2 linked regions of the Tribolium castaneum genome follow. The protein of the gene in region 1 purifies or fractionates together with the protein of each later gene. This does not show direct contact. Links are inferred from orthologs where the notes say so. Each region holds a gene or a part of one and is shown on either strand. Other genes may lie near its edges.

Evidence for each region.
Region 2: the proteins of Pink1 (region 1) and Cdc37 purify together in Homo sapiens (affinity purification with mass spectrometry; 6 studies listed by BioGRID and IntAct, with this or other methods). This does not show direct contact. The link is inferred for Tribolium castaneum from reciprocal best matches to the Homo sapiens genes PINK1 and CDC37.

What each region holds. Positions count from the first base shown.
Region 1 is NC_087398.1:3,463,077-3,470,095, forward strand, and holds Pink1 (serine/threonine-protein kinase Pink1, mitochondrial), read left to right. Parts: upstream 1-2,819; 5' UTR 2,820-3,005; coding exon 3,006-3,292; intron 3,293-3,799; coding exon 3,800-4,919; intron 4,920-4,972; coding exon 4,973-5,071; intron 5,072-5,123; coding exon 5,124-5,330; 3' UTR 5,331-5,562; coding exon of another isoform or gene 5,563-5,705; 3' UTR 5,706-5,748; coding exon of another isoform or gene 5,749-5,920; 3' UTR 5,921-5,963; coding exon of another isoform or gene 5,964-6,035; 3' UTR 6,036-6,504; intron 6,505-6,553; 3' UTR 6,554-6,716; downstream 6,717-7,019. Other genes in the region: protein brambleberry, read right to left, coding at 1,304-1,958, 2,009-2,269; zinc finger protein 346, read right to left, coding at 5,563-5,705, 5,749-5,920, 5,964-6,035. UniProt on the Homo sapiens protein: Serine/threonine-protein kinase which acts as a sensor of mitochondrial damage and protects against mitochondrial dysfunction during cellular stress.
Region 2 is NC_087398.1:2,271,434-2,277,746, reverse strand, and holds Cdc37 (hsp90 co-chaperone Cdc37), read right to left. Parts: upstream 3,535-6,313; 5' UTR 3,408-3,534; coding exon 3,375-3,407; intron 3,328-3,374; coding exon 3,037-3,327; intron 2,990-3,036; coding exon 2,711-2,989; intron 2,636-2,710; coding exon 2,147-2,635; 3' UTR 2,034-2,146; downstream 1-2,033. Other genes in the region: Spase25 (signal peptidase complex subunit 2), read right to left, coding at 900-1,086, 1,132-1,290, 1,343-1,476, 1,524-1,589, 1,682-1,717; queuosine 5'-phosphate N-glycosylase/hydrolase, read right to left, coding at 3,844-4,740, 4,794-4,889. UniProt on the Homo sapiens protein: Co-chaperone that binds to numerous kinases and promotes their interaction with the Hsp90 complex, resulting in stabilization and promotion of their activity. Inhibits HSP90AA1 ATPase activity.

The sequences.
Region 1 (7,019 bases):
AAACACGGGGAACTCGGAGATAAAAATGTGGCTTCACTTCTTCACTAAAAAATACGTGACTCGAAAACTAAAAGTCGTAGAGCAAAACGGTTGGTTCCAGCTAATTCTTCGGTTCATTTTACGTATTATGTCGCTGTTTTTACAACACCAGTTTACTTCAGAACTCATTTAAAAGCTTATTTTTACATGAAGAAAAATGGTGGATGCGCCAAGTTATTTATTTAAAAAATCATAACTCAAAAACTAAAAGTCGTAGAGCAAAACGGTTTGTTCCAGTGAATTCAGCGGCTCATCTTCTGTATTATACCAGCTTTTCACAAAATTTAAAGTTATGAATTGTCTTGCAAAAATTTACACTTACCTTCAAAAAAGTAAAAAAAAAAGATGTTTTTTTAAACTCGTTGTAACATAGTTGTATGGACTTGTATGTGCCTTTACAACCTTCTCGAGTTGTTAAATGTCCAAAAAAAGTCCATATGTTCGATTTTTTGATGTTTGACTTTTCCAATTTTTCTCGCGATTTTGGTCGATTTCGGTAATCCGGAACATTTATCGAGCAATAACTCAGGAACTATTAGAGATAACCCCATAGTGTATTATCGTTGGAAAGCTCTTTTAATTTTCTATACTTTTCAAAAAAGATCTTTGTTCTAGGACTAATAGTTTTTGAGAAAATTGCAAATAAAAGCAAAAATAGGTAAAATTTAAAAAAATTCATAAATAAAAAACTGTTGGAAATTTCGCAAATTTCTCGATGCCAATCGATTCCCCGGATCATTTTGTATAGGCAAGGATCAAAAAAGTTCCACTTTTTTGAATAGTTTAGCCATAATTGAGAAAATTTAAAAAAATTAAAAAAAGTTTAAAAACACCCCCCCGTTAAAAATGGCTAATTATAAAAGGGTCTCCAAACCAAATAAAACCGATCCTATCTTATAGATTTTGATGTGCTCTTTACGATGAAAAAAAGCGTTTTCTCCTAACTCTTTTAGTTTGACCGTAATCGACGTTTGAAAACTGAAAAAATTTTTGCCTTTAAACCTGTGCCATTTTGTAGTTTTTTATTCCGGTTTTCCTCGATTTTTCCGTGTTCTAGGACTCATTTTACATTTTATATCGATTTTTCACAAAAAATTTAAGCCATTTTCCATAGTGAAAAATTTTATTCAACAAAAAAATTCATGACTCAAAAATTAAAAGTCGTAGAGCAAAACGGTTTGCTCCAGTGATTCAGCAGTTCATTTTCTGGTATCTTTCTTTTGGACACAGGTCTAGATATACTCAATTAAAAAATCGTAATTACCGATTCGTTCAAAAATGGCGTGTGCCTTATCTTGAATCTTGACAAGATCGTCTAGCAACTCCTCGTGGTTTTGGCGGGTCTCGCCTCTTTGTTTTTCAAGATTCTTGCTTGAATCTTCCAACCGGCGCTGTATCTTGTGCGTCATTTGCACCAATTGGTTGTGAGTATCAACGATCAACTCTTTCTCTTGTGATAGCTTGCGGATATTATCTTCCAAGACCAGCTGGCCGTGGAACTGGGCTCTTTGGATATCTCGCTGCTGATTGGTCAAAATCTCGTGACCTTGCGCTAACGAACTGAGCGTTTGTTCAGCAATGTCGTGCAGATCTTGCTGATTTTCCGCGATTTTCCCGAGGGTTTTGAGTTGGTCTCGGGCCGTGTCCATGAGTCTGTTTATGGAGTGTTCTGCCATTCCGCGGAACTGCATTTGTCTGATGGTGTAGCAGACGGCTCTTGCACGGTTACTCATGAGGTGGTAGCTCGTCCACGTGTCCGAGTCCATGCTTCCGGTGCAGTCGCGGATGCTCATGTCATCGGTGCAAGGAAAAATAGGGCGCCCTTCAACGTACGATTGGCAGTTTAGGAGATGTACTGCCATTTTAGCCAGCTGCTCGTCGTTCATCTTATCGCAATCAGAGCGTAGCTTCAGTACCACCTGTTCTAGATAAGTTAGTAAGGGTTGCAAATACAAAAAACCATATTTACTCTTTGCTGGCATGAATCTAGCTCTGATAAAGCTACACCTGTGAGCTTGGCTGCCTCTGATATGAATTTTTCATCGACTGTGGACACTTCGTAGGGAATTCGTTGGACGAATTCACCGACAGAATCACTTTCGGGTTCGGTGAACGTAAAATAACTTCCTATTGTTTTTACATAATCGGTGAAACCTGTCTGAACTTGCCAAGTTTTGAAGAAAAGTAAAATTAACACTAAAATAAAACTAGTACAACTGGGGAACTTCATGGTGAATAAATAATGACTAGGGATTTGGAAAACTTAACGGAAAGTGATTGTATTTGGCGAAATTTAGCTTTTTATCACTGATTTTAAATTCATTGTTGACAGGTGTCAACTGTCAATAATAACCGTTGATTCTTTTTTTTTCCATGTGCTGACATCTAGAACAGATGAAAATAAGGCACTGTGCGACTTTTATTACGCAATTATTTATTTAAAATTACCCCTTCCTAATAACTTAGGCTAAATTTAAAACTAGGACAGTGTATATTTATTTAAACTAAACATTTATAGACCACTATTTTTTCAAACAATCAACGCGCCATCTACGGGCGAGACTTGCAGTTTCATCAAGTATATAATTTTTATGATAAATTACCCTACTTTCCGAAGCATAACACCAATTTGGCTTATTTGAGTAAAGTTTTAATTATCTTAAAGTCATAACTTAAGACGCAAAAAGTTTAAAAATAAATTTTATGCAATTGTGGCGTATCTACGACTTGCGTCGGTTCGTCTCTCTCTTTTTAGCTTATAAAATAGACAAAGACGCTGAGCAGACGCCTGTTGGTGATTGGGCCAGATTTCCCGAGTTTGAAAATAAAGATGGCAGTCGTGCCTCAAGGGGGCGAAATGTCAAAGTGCGGAATTTTTCTCTAAAAATCAAATTTCCCGTGTGTTTTTTGTGTTGATTCTTCTCCGAGTGCCCTGCTGAGGGTGCCGTCCCTCCACGCGGTACAAAATGTCCGTACGCGCCGTCGGCAGCCGCTTATTTAAACATGGTAGAAGTCTTATCCAACAATTCTGTAAAAGAGACCTTAATACCACAATTGGCGACAAAATTAATGCCGTTTCACAAGCAACAGCAGCCCCGTCTTCGTTGCCCAAAACCCAGATACCCAAGAATTTTGCGCTGAGAAATGTGGGGGTCCAGTTGGGGCTGCAGGCGAGGCGGATTCTGATCGATAATGTGCTTAATAGGGTCACCAACAGCCTTTCGGCCGAGCTGAGGAAGAAGGCCACCAGAAGGTAAGGATAACAATATTAAAAAAATCAAAGTTGGCTGTGACAATCAGTGACATTGCATAAACAAAAATGTGAATTTTTGCTTTTTTTTCTTAATTATTAGCAATTTACGAAAGGCAGAGTGTTAATTTAATTGTGATTTATTATCATCATTTAAAAAACCACATTTAAAAGTGGTGCTTTTTTGTGTTTTTATTTAACGCAGGATGGCTTCAAGGCCTTCTTTGATTTTAATTCAGTTTAGGATAATTGCTGGTAATTCATTTGTTTTAATAGTTACGTCGATACATAACATAAAATTCTATTGTTATAACTTAATTACATTTTCAGTAAACACAATTTTGATAAGACTTGTATTAGGAATTTGAGCTTTAATTTTTTATTCAAGCTAATTTTATCTTTGATGCAACAATCAAACGTGCTATGTAATCACGCTTTATTTATACATATGTATAATGCTATATGTGGGCGTGGTCACGGTGGGCGTGTCTGAACTTTTTCATTTTCCAGGATCTTATTCGGCGACTCCGCCCCGTTTTTTGCCCTAGTGGGCGTGAGCATAGCTTCCGGTACCGGAATTTTAACCAAAGAAGAGGAACTTGAAGGTGTGTGTTGGGAAATTCGCGAAGCCATCTCGAAAATCAAATGGCAGTATTACGACATCGACGAAAGCCGATTCGAATCGAACCCGATCACTTTAAACGATCTCTCATTGGGCAAACCGATAGCCAAAGGCACCAATGGCGTGGTTTATTCAGCTAAAGTGAAAGACGACGAAACCGACGACAACAAATACCCATTCGCGCTGAAAATGATGTTCAACTACGACATCCAATCAAATTCTATGGAAATCCTCAAGGCCATGTATCGCGAAACGGTTCCTGCGAGGATGTATTACAGCAACCACGATTTGAACAATTGGGAAATCGAGTTGGCCAATCGGCGGAAACATCTGCCACCGCATCCCAATATCGTTGCCATATTTTCCGTTTTTACTGATTTAATCCAAGAATTGGAGGGTAGTAAGGACTTGTACCCCGCGGCTCTGCCCCCGAGACTCCACCCCGAGGGCGAAGGCCGGAACATGTCGCTGTTCCTCCTTATGAAACGCTACGATTGCAACTTGCAAAGTTTCCTCTCAACAGCTCCATCAACCCGCACATCGCTCCTCCTACTCGCCCAGTTGCTAGAAGGCGTGGCTCATATGACAGCTCACGGCATAGCACACCGCGACCTCAAATCCGATAATTTGTTACTCGACACCAGCGAACCCGAAAGCCCCATTTTAGTCATCAGCGACTTTGGGTGTTGTCTTGCTGATAAAACCAACGGGTTGTCGCTCCCTTACACGAGCTATGAGATGGATAAGGGTGGCAACACTGCATTGATGGCCCCCGAAATTATTTGCCAAAAACCGGGCACTTTCAGCGTCTTGAATTATTCCAAAGCCGACTTGTGGGCCGTAGGAGCCATAGCTTACGAGATTTTCAACTGTCATAACCCATTTTATGGCCCAAGTCGGTTGAAAAACTTTAATTACAAGGAGGGGGATTTACCGAAATTGCCCGACGAGGTGCCAACTGTGATTCAAGCCTTGGTGGCCAATCTCCTGAAGCGCAATCCCAATAAGGTTGGTAATGATTTTTTTGTTTTTCATTAAGGGTAAATTATTTTTCAAAATAGCGTCTCGATCCGGAAGTTGCGGCCAACGTTTGTCAGTTGTTTTTGTGGGCACCTAGCACGTGGCTAAAGCCGGGCTTGAAAGTACCAACAAGTGGCGAGGTGATTGTCTTTTGTTTAGGTAAAATAGCAATCGTCATTCGTTTGTTTTTAGATTTTGCAGTGGTTGTTGAGTTTGACGACGAAGGTTTTGTGCGAGGGCAAAATCAATAATAAGAGTTTTGGGGAGAAATTTACAAGGAATTGGAGGAGGACGTATCCCGAGTATTTGTTGATTTCTAGTTTTTTGTGTAGAGCTAAGTTAGCAAATGTTAGAAATGCGCTTCACTGGATTCAGGAAAATCTTCCCGAACTTGATTAAACTTAAGGCTATTTATTGCGAGGTCGAGGGCTGTTTTAGTTAGACACATGAGACTGCTAGATTGTGATTATGGTTAGTGTTTCTTTCTATAGATTCGGTTTTATAGAAATAAAAACACTTGATTTGTACATTACTGCTATTACTCACTGAAATATATATTTGGGTTTAAGAAAAGTCGTTTCAATCGTTCAACAATTTAATGGTAATAGAAATTTGGTAACAATGAACAAAATTACTGGCAAATCACTTTAAACAACAACAATAAGTTAATAAAAATACAAACGACACAGAAGAGTAAGATCCACAAGCCAGCGGTTCCTGTCGCGTCCGAAATGAAGTTTTCTTTTTTCATCAGCTTGTTCTTGTGTTTGATGCCTGTAACGTCTCTCATCATTTCGAAACTCAACATTTGACTTACTGTTCAAGTGGATGTTTAGCTGAATTTCGCTGTTTGCGACGACATCGCACAATTCACAAACGAATGTTTTTCCTTGTCTCTCTTCCTTCATTTTGTGCCTTCGCCCTTCCAAATGGCGCTGAAGGATCTTCACACTGGTGACTTTAACATTACATAATTCGCACGAAAGGGCCTAAAAAATCAATCACTAATTTGCTTCCCTCAAACTGGCTCACATTTTTATCGCTGTTTTCTTCATTTTTCTCGTTTAATTGCACTTCTTCGATCGAATTATGGAATTCGGACATTTTCGCACGTTCGCATGCCGCCGCAAACGCTATCACCTGACTTTTTCAAACTTTTTTTCCGACTTTATCTTCCTCGACCTCGTCAGTGTTTCAAAGCCGGTCAAGATGAACGCAGGTCTTTACGCCGACGGTGCTCAAGTCCAAAATTTCCATTTTGACGATCCTCTCAGTCGAGAATTGTTCGATTTTGAGATTCTCTGCGCCCACGGCAGTGTGTGCGTTCATAAACTTATTTTAATGACCCGAAGCCTCTATTTTCGCCAGTTGTTGGAGAACCAGGTAGCCATCAGGGAAATTACTTTAGAAGAGTTCAGCCAGGATGTGATGAGAAAAGTCGTACGCCTGATCTACGGAGATATTGTGAGGGTCCCTGAACTGCAAGTCGAAGAGTTTGTGAAGATTTTGCACTTTTTGAGAGTCGATTATTGGGCCAAGTTCAACAGATTGTTGATGGATGGGGGCGATTTAGGTGAGAAACGACAAAAAACGGAAATTTTATCTAAATTTAAAAGTTTCAGCTGCCATGGCTTCGACTCCGGACATCTCCACTGAAACGGAACCCTCAACTACGGACGACCTGGGCAGCAGGAGGTCCGGAGACGGCGATTCCATGGCTCTTACTGAATAACGATTTTTGTGCCTATCGAGTTTTTCAATAAAGGTTTCGAATTCAGCATTTCAGTCGTAGTTTTTTTACGTTCCTTCTTTCATTGAAAAAATTCAAGGCTAATTTTAAATTGCCTCCTTTTTGCCAACGCAAAAAATATCCCTAAAGAAATTTTCACAAATAATTTGTTGCCTTCCAAGCAACTAAATCAAGGTAAATAGTAATACGTTACATTCCAAATACTCGAATTTAATTTTTTTATCGAGTTTTGGTCAAAAAAAATAATTTTTTACTACAGCAAACTACCAATGTAACAAATCCGAAACCTCTAGATTTGTTTGGGTCGCATTTGTTGTTAAAGGGAATATTTAAAAAAC
Region 2 (6,313 bases), about 1.2 Mb from region 1:
TTTTCAGTTTAATTCTCTAATTTTTCACCAGATTCCATCAAAAGATACCTGACGTATAAGTCATCTAAAGATTCAACTAAAGTTTGCAGTTATATTTCACCTTTACGTTCATCTCTTCTTCTCTCAAAACAAAAAGTACGTTTACAATTTGGCGCCTTTACGTACTTTTACATTTTTGCCACATTATTTTCTTATTTCTCTCAGTTTTATGCTCCGCTTTACGTTTATACGTTTATATGTTTGTATGTTCTCTCAATCTCTTATTTTTGTTCTCGTGTTGTTTCACTTACCTTTTCTACACTTTTTTTCTCAGAAAAATTGTTGCCGTGATCCGGGTGCGAACACCCGACCTCCACCGCCGAAAGTGGCGCTTATACCACTCGGCCACCAAGGCCCTGGGTACCGACCGTCTTTTGCAGGTATTTTAACACAAACTTTTTAAATAAATCAACATTACAAACTATATAAATGCAGTAATTCACCTTAAACGCAAATACTTTGTATCACCTTATTAAACTTCTTAGGTAGTAAATTAAATAATTATAAAATTGTCTTGTGCACTGCTACGCGGATAAACGAGGTTCTACTGTAGTCATGTCCTCTTTTTTATTGTCTTGGGAGGAAGGTTTAGATTTTTGTGGAATTTTTCAATGGGAACAGAAACACGATTTTTACCTCCATAATTTTTATTTTTTCAATAGAAATCGATACAGTTATGTTGAAAATTTTTTGGCTGTGCGTTTCCGATAAATCGCAAACAGTTTTTGTTTTGTGCGTAGAAAGGCGTTTATGAACAAAAATAAAATAATCATTGTACTAAAAAAGTAATGTATTAGAGAAATTTACAACTCAAGTGGAATTATGCAATAAATGCCTTGCTGACATGACAATCTCGAGAGCTATTTATCTTTACGTTCATTCAACAGAGAATTGTGCAGCTTTGAAACCTCATTTTCCACAATTTCGTGCACTACACTACCGTTGACGTCCACAAAATTTGCAACACTTTTCTTTAAGCTTGTCTCCCGGAAAGCCCCAGTTTTACCATCTTTAAACGTGAGAACCAGTTTATATTTATCATCGTATCTAAAATAAATAATAAATTACTGTGGTTTTATCTTTGGGACCCACTTTTTTAAATATGAGCTGGCTTCCCATATGTTATCGCTTTTCTGACCGTCCTTCTTCTGCATACATACAGCGAAAATACCCTTTTCTACATACATGGTGTACAACGTTAGAATGCCCATCATTGTGAAATAAGTGCCCACACAAAATATTAATATAGGTCTGAAAAAACGCAAGTATTTATACAGAGGGGTGGATTATTTGAGACTCTTACTTAGAAAGTGGAAAGGGATATAAATAATCCCACAGTAAAGCAAACATGGCAACTCCTACTGCAATACTACAAATTACAAGGCGCCCATCCATCAATTTAAAATTTTCTACGTAATGATACTTTTTAGTAAGTACCTAAAAAATACTATTATAACAATGAACAGGGAGTCACGGGACCTCACTTCTTTTACTGCATCGTCTATGGCATTTTTCACAGCTGAACCGTCCCATTTATTTATTTTAACAGGCTGCAACAATAGGTTATGAAGCCAAATTTACAATTTTTTCCGTATTTAAATAACAAGCGTGCAAATTACGTGTTCATTCATTTAAACTGTACCTTATCATCCTTTTCTTTGCTTTCTTTTGGGGCCATAATCTTAACTGACTGGTTAAATTTTCAATTTTTTATGTGGTGTTGTCGTGTCTTGTTGTTGCGACACGTCAAGTGATGCGTCAGAACACGAAATATGGGAAACGCGAAAATACACCAACATCGGTGAACAAAAGTAACTACGCTTTTTCAAAAGAACGGGTTTTACCAAATATTTTTTTTAAATAACGTTGATTGTTATATCTGCCACTGAAACTGTAAATTCGTTTGGCTATTATTTTTTTCAAGTGGATGATTAATTTAAGTCAGTGAGAGAAAATGCGGGAATTGGGATGGGTATAAGAAAGTTTACGTCAAGTTTATAAAGTAAAGAAATTTATTAATCTTCAAGCATTCCTAATAAATTAATACAATAAATTTGCATTCTTAGGAAATAAAGGCTAAATAACAAAAATTGTAAAGCAAGTGACTTTAGGGTTTTGACTGCTCATCAGAAGGCCCAGCTTCTTCTTCTTCCTTCTTTTTGGCATCAGGTATCCAAAGACCCGCAGCAACACACCTCTTCATGTGATAGTTGGCCTCTTCTTCATCCATTTCCTTGATTGTGTCTTGCAACATTTGGATGTCTTGCGTCTCGAAACATTTTCGTAAATTCTCGGGAAGACTTTCCAAGACTTCAAGCTGATCTAACCCTCCTGGCCCTATCCTCGCTTTCCTCTCCTCCTCCTCTGCTTCTTTTATGGCCTCTTCAATCTTCTCAGCTGCGCGTCGTCTGATCCTCTCCTTAAACTGGTCTAATTCATCGTCAAACGATTTTTTGTAAAGAGGATCAGCTATTTGGATTTTGGAGAAAAAGGGGTCCACGCAGCCGCGAGGGTCGTAGTCTAATTGTTTGGCTAGTTCTAGGATGTACTGCATGCAGATGGTCTGGTGCGCCACGTGCTCCATAAGGTCATGTTTCTAATTAAAAGAACAATACATAATTTACCCCAACAACTCAGTGTTGCCAATATACATTTTTTGCCACAATCTTACCTCTTCCATTTCTAAATTGATGCACCAGATGACGAGGTAATTAGCTGTGTCTTCGCAAACCAATTCAAGGTGGTCCCTGAGAAAAGCCCGAGAGTCTTCATAACGTCGCAACATTCCAAAGTGCTTCAAATTCTTCTCGTTTTCTTTTACAAAATTTTTCATGCGACTTTCCTTCTCTTCATCCGTTAATTGTTCGTCCTTCGGTCTCGGAGCTTTCTTATTAATAACAGTCTTTGCAAAACCTGGCTGACTAATTGTGTCCACATTCCACGGGGCCATCTGTAAATCACTAAATAAACATTAGAAGAACTAACATTCGTACAAACTTTTTCTTTCTTCTCGTGTTCTTCCTGTTTCTTCTTAATCGCTTCCATTTCCTTCTCCAGCGCGGCCAGAGCGTCCTTAAGTTCCCTCAAATTCGCATCTCCGGCCTTCTCGGCTTCCGCCAGCTTCTGCTTGGCTTGCGAGACCTTCTTAGCATTTTCCTCCCTCTTTATCTGGATTTCTTCCGCTTCTTTCTTCATTTCTTCCATGCGCTCAACTCTGGCCTGGTGCCTCCACCGGAAAAGTGAAGGGGTGTCAATATTTGGATGCGTCTCATCCTCATCGTCGGAAATCTGCAAAGCACCACCTAACCTCATTTTTTCCTCCCAGACTTCACTACCTCAATATTCTTCCACTTGCTGTAATCGACCATGACGCCAATGCGAATTTTGATTCCTCCAAGAAAATACAACAATAAAACACTTGCACTTTTGAAATAAACAACAAACGTCACTTTGCTGCTCCTCCGCCCTCTGGCTGGCTTTCGCGAAACGTCGGCAGAGGATCATGGGTAGGGAGACGAGGGCAAATAAAATTCCAGAATATTCTTTCAATCATAATCTAATACTTTAACTTTAAAAACATTGACACGATTAATCTTAAAAATTACTGATATGAAATAAAACATGACAGCATAGTTGGCAATGAAAAAGTACGGTTCGGTTTGTAACAATTGTAACCATGACTACCACCAAAATGCCATATCAAAGTTTCATGGCCAACCGCTCCCTGAAATTTTCGATTAATTACTAATAAATTAGCACATTGATTCGGTCAACTCCAATTTTAACTTGATATTGTCGTTCGATTTAGTAATAAATGGAGAACGTTTTGTGGAACGGCAACTTCTTCTCCACGATTTCCTTGTTATGTTCGCGTCTGAAGTCCCACAAGAAGTGATCGATCAAAATGGCATTGATTTTCGTATCAGTTAGTTTTTTATTGGCATGTTCTTTTAGCAGCTCGACCGCATGGATGGAGCAAGCTCTGATCTCCACTTCGTCCTCTTCCCCGTTTTCGAGAATTTTGTTGTCTTGCAGTTTCTTCTTCAAATCTTCGCTGTACTCAAACACCCCGAAATATAGGAGAGATTGTGGGATTCTATAATCCGCAAACATTGTTATTTCATCGATATCTTTAAAGTGCCCAAGTCCTTCGTTCTTGAAACAGGCCCAAATGTCGCCAATTAAAATCTGCGCCCGCTTGTAAATCGCAATTTTCTTGTCTTTGTAAGTCGCTTCGTCCTTGAAGCACTTGAAATTGTTGACGATTAGGTCCAGAAGGGCCACAGCGCTCTTGTCAGCCTTTTTCACGCAATTTTCAAACGAACCGTCGAAAGTTTCAAGAAGGACGTTCCCAACTTCGTGCAAGCATTTGACGCGTTCCTGGAGGAGTGGAATTGGGACATCGTTGTCGCTTCTGAATATTTTCGCAAGGTCTTTTTCGGACACTTCAGAGTAGTATTTCGAGTTCAAAATATCCACTTTTTCCTTCACGGCTCGATTAATAGCCGCACAAAGGGCAAAATAACCAGTGTAGCCCTCCACAGTCCAGCCAGCTTCGGTTTCTAAGTGCCAGAAGCAAAAATTCAGAGTGTCCACGACAAATAACCAGTCAAGGGCTTTGGGATCGTCGGATTTTGGGTGCAGTTTCACTTGACTGAACTTCTCACTGGACAATTTCCCGCTTTCGATCTCGCTAACCAACTGGAGATAACAGTTAAAATGTGCCTTTTTTCGCCTGATACGCACGGACTTACCAAATCCCCCAGTTTTTTCACACCTTCGTCTTTGATTTTCACGTTTTTGCTAAGCGAAGCAACGAGTTTGCCTGACTCACGAGGTGATAAAGCCATTTTCTCTTGATATGTTGTGAAAACGCGGAGCTTGTAAAATCACAGAACAGTAAAGGTTAAGAAGTGATAATTCCCTAGTAAATCACTGGCAACACGAGAATACAGCGCCTCTGGTGCTGAAGTGCGTTACTACCACGGTAAAGCGCCACGTTTGAATAAATTCCTTTTATATTCTGTTTTTTATTATTTTTATCTTACAAGTTTTATTGCAAATTGTTTAAAATAAAAAAAAATATTTTCATTTTAAACGAAATGAAAACATTTTATATTTATTTTAAACAAAATTTGCAATGAAACTTACAAAAAAAGTTGTTTTGGGGTAATAAAACACAGATTTTGTTAACATTTTTATTGCACACTTGAGTAACATAACAAATTAAATTTTTCAAAAAATTAAAGTATTGTATTATTTCTTAATTATACAAAAATTATCAAAAAATTGAATCAGTCAGTGTTGGCATGTTTTGCCTGTCTGCTCCAGACTTAAAACAAAATAAGGCCTTCTTTGCAATGACTTTTACCTTGTCTGTCAGCAAACAGTTGCCCGCGCTACGACCACGAGGAGGTACATGCAGTGCACTGACACACTCGAGCGCAAATAAGAAACTTAAAAGTAAATTCTGAAATAACCTAAATAGAGAATTCTAAAAAACATCAAAAAACTTAACAAACAATTTTAAACTATATAAATTAAAACAGAAATATTTCCTCCAAAAGAACTATGTACAAATAAATTAAAAAAAAAATACATTTCTTGTTTAAATATATATCTACAAATCACAGCCTTCTATGTACAAATCACAGTCTATTTACAAATCACAGCCTTCGGAATTTTTTCATTTTTTCTATATGACCGGTGGTAACGGATTTTGCTTTCTGCTTGTCTCTTGTGTATTTATATATTAAAAAGGTGGTACACCTATTTAATATTAAATTATCACAGTCGTGAGTCATGCAATAGGCTGGCCCAAAATCAAACTGAGATTTATAAATTTCTTTGAACCTGTCTTCCAACATTGCGTGGTGAGCATAGGTATCAAGGAAACTGTATAAACAGTCATGAATGTTTTGAACAAGCCACATTACATGTTCACTAGCATACTTCAGTCGCCGCTGATTATCGTCAAATTCCTTGAATGAGACTAAGAGATGGTGCTCTGTCGGCTCCTCAGAATATAGTTTATTCTGACAGTTTTCGCAATCAGGAACCTCAATTTCCTTCAATACATAGCCAGCAACATAAGCCAAACCTTGACTGTCTTCACAGCAAAGGTCTGGTTGCTGTAATGTAGAAAAGTCCACTGAAATTTCTGGATGCGATTCCTGCTCTCTTTCCTCATTCCCTGAAAAGTTCAATAATCTCCCCAAGTTTTCCAAAGGCGTGCACTCGTCATCCTCACAATTACCACAGCCTTTTGGTGAAA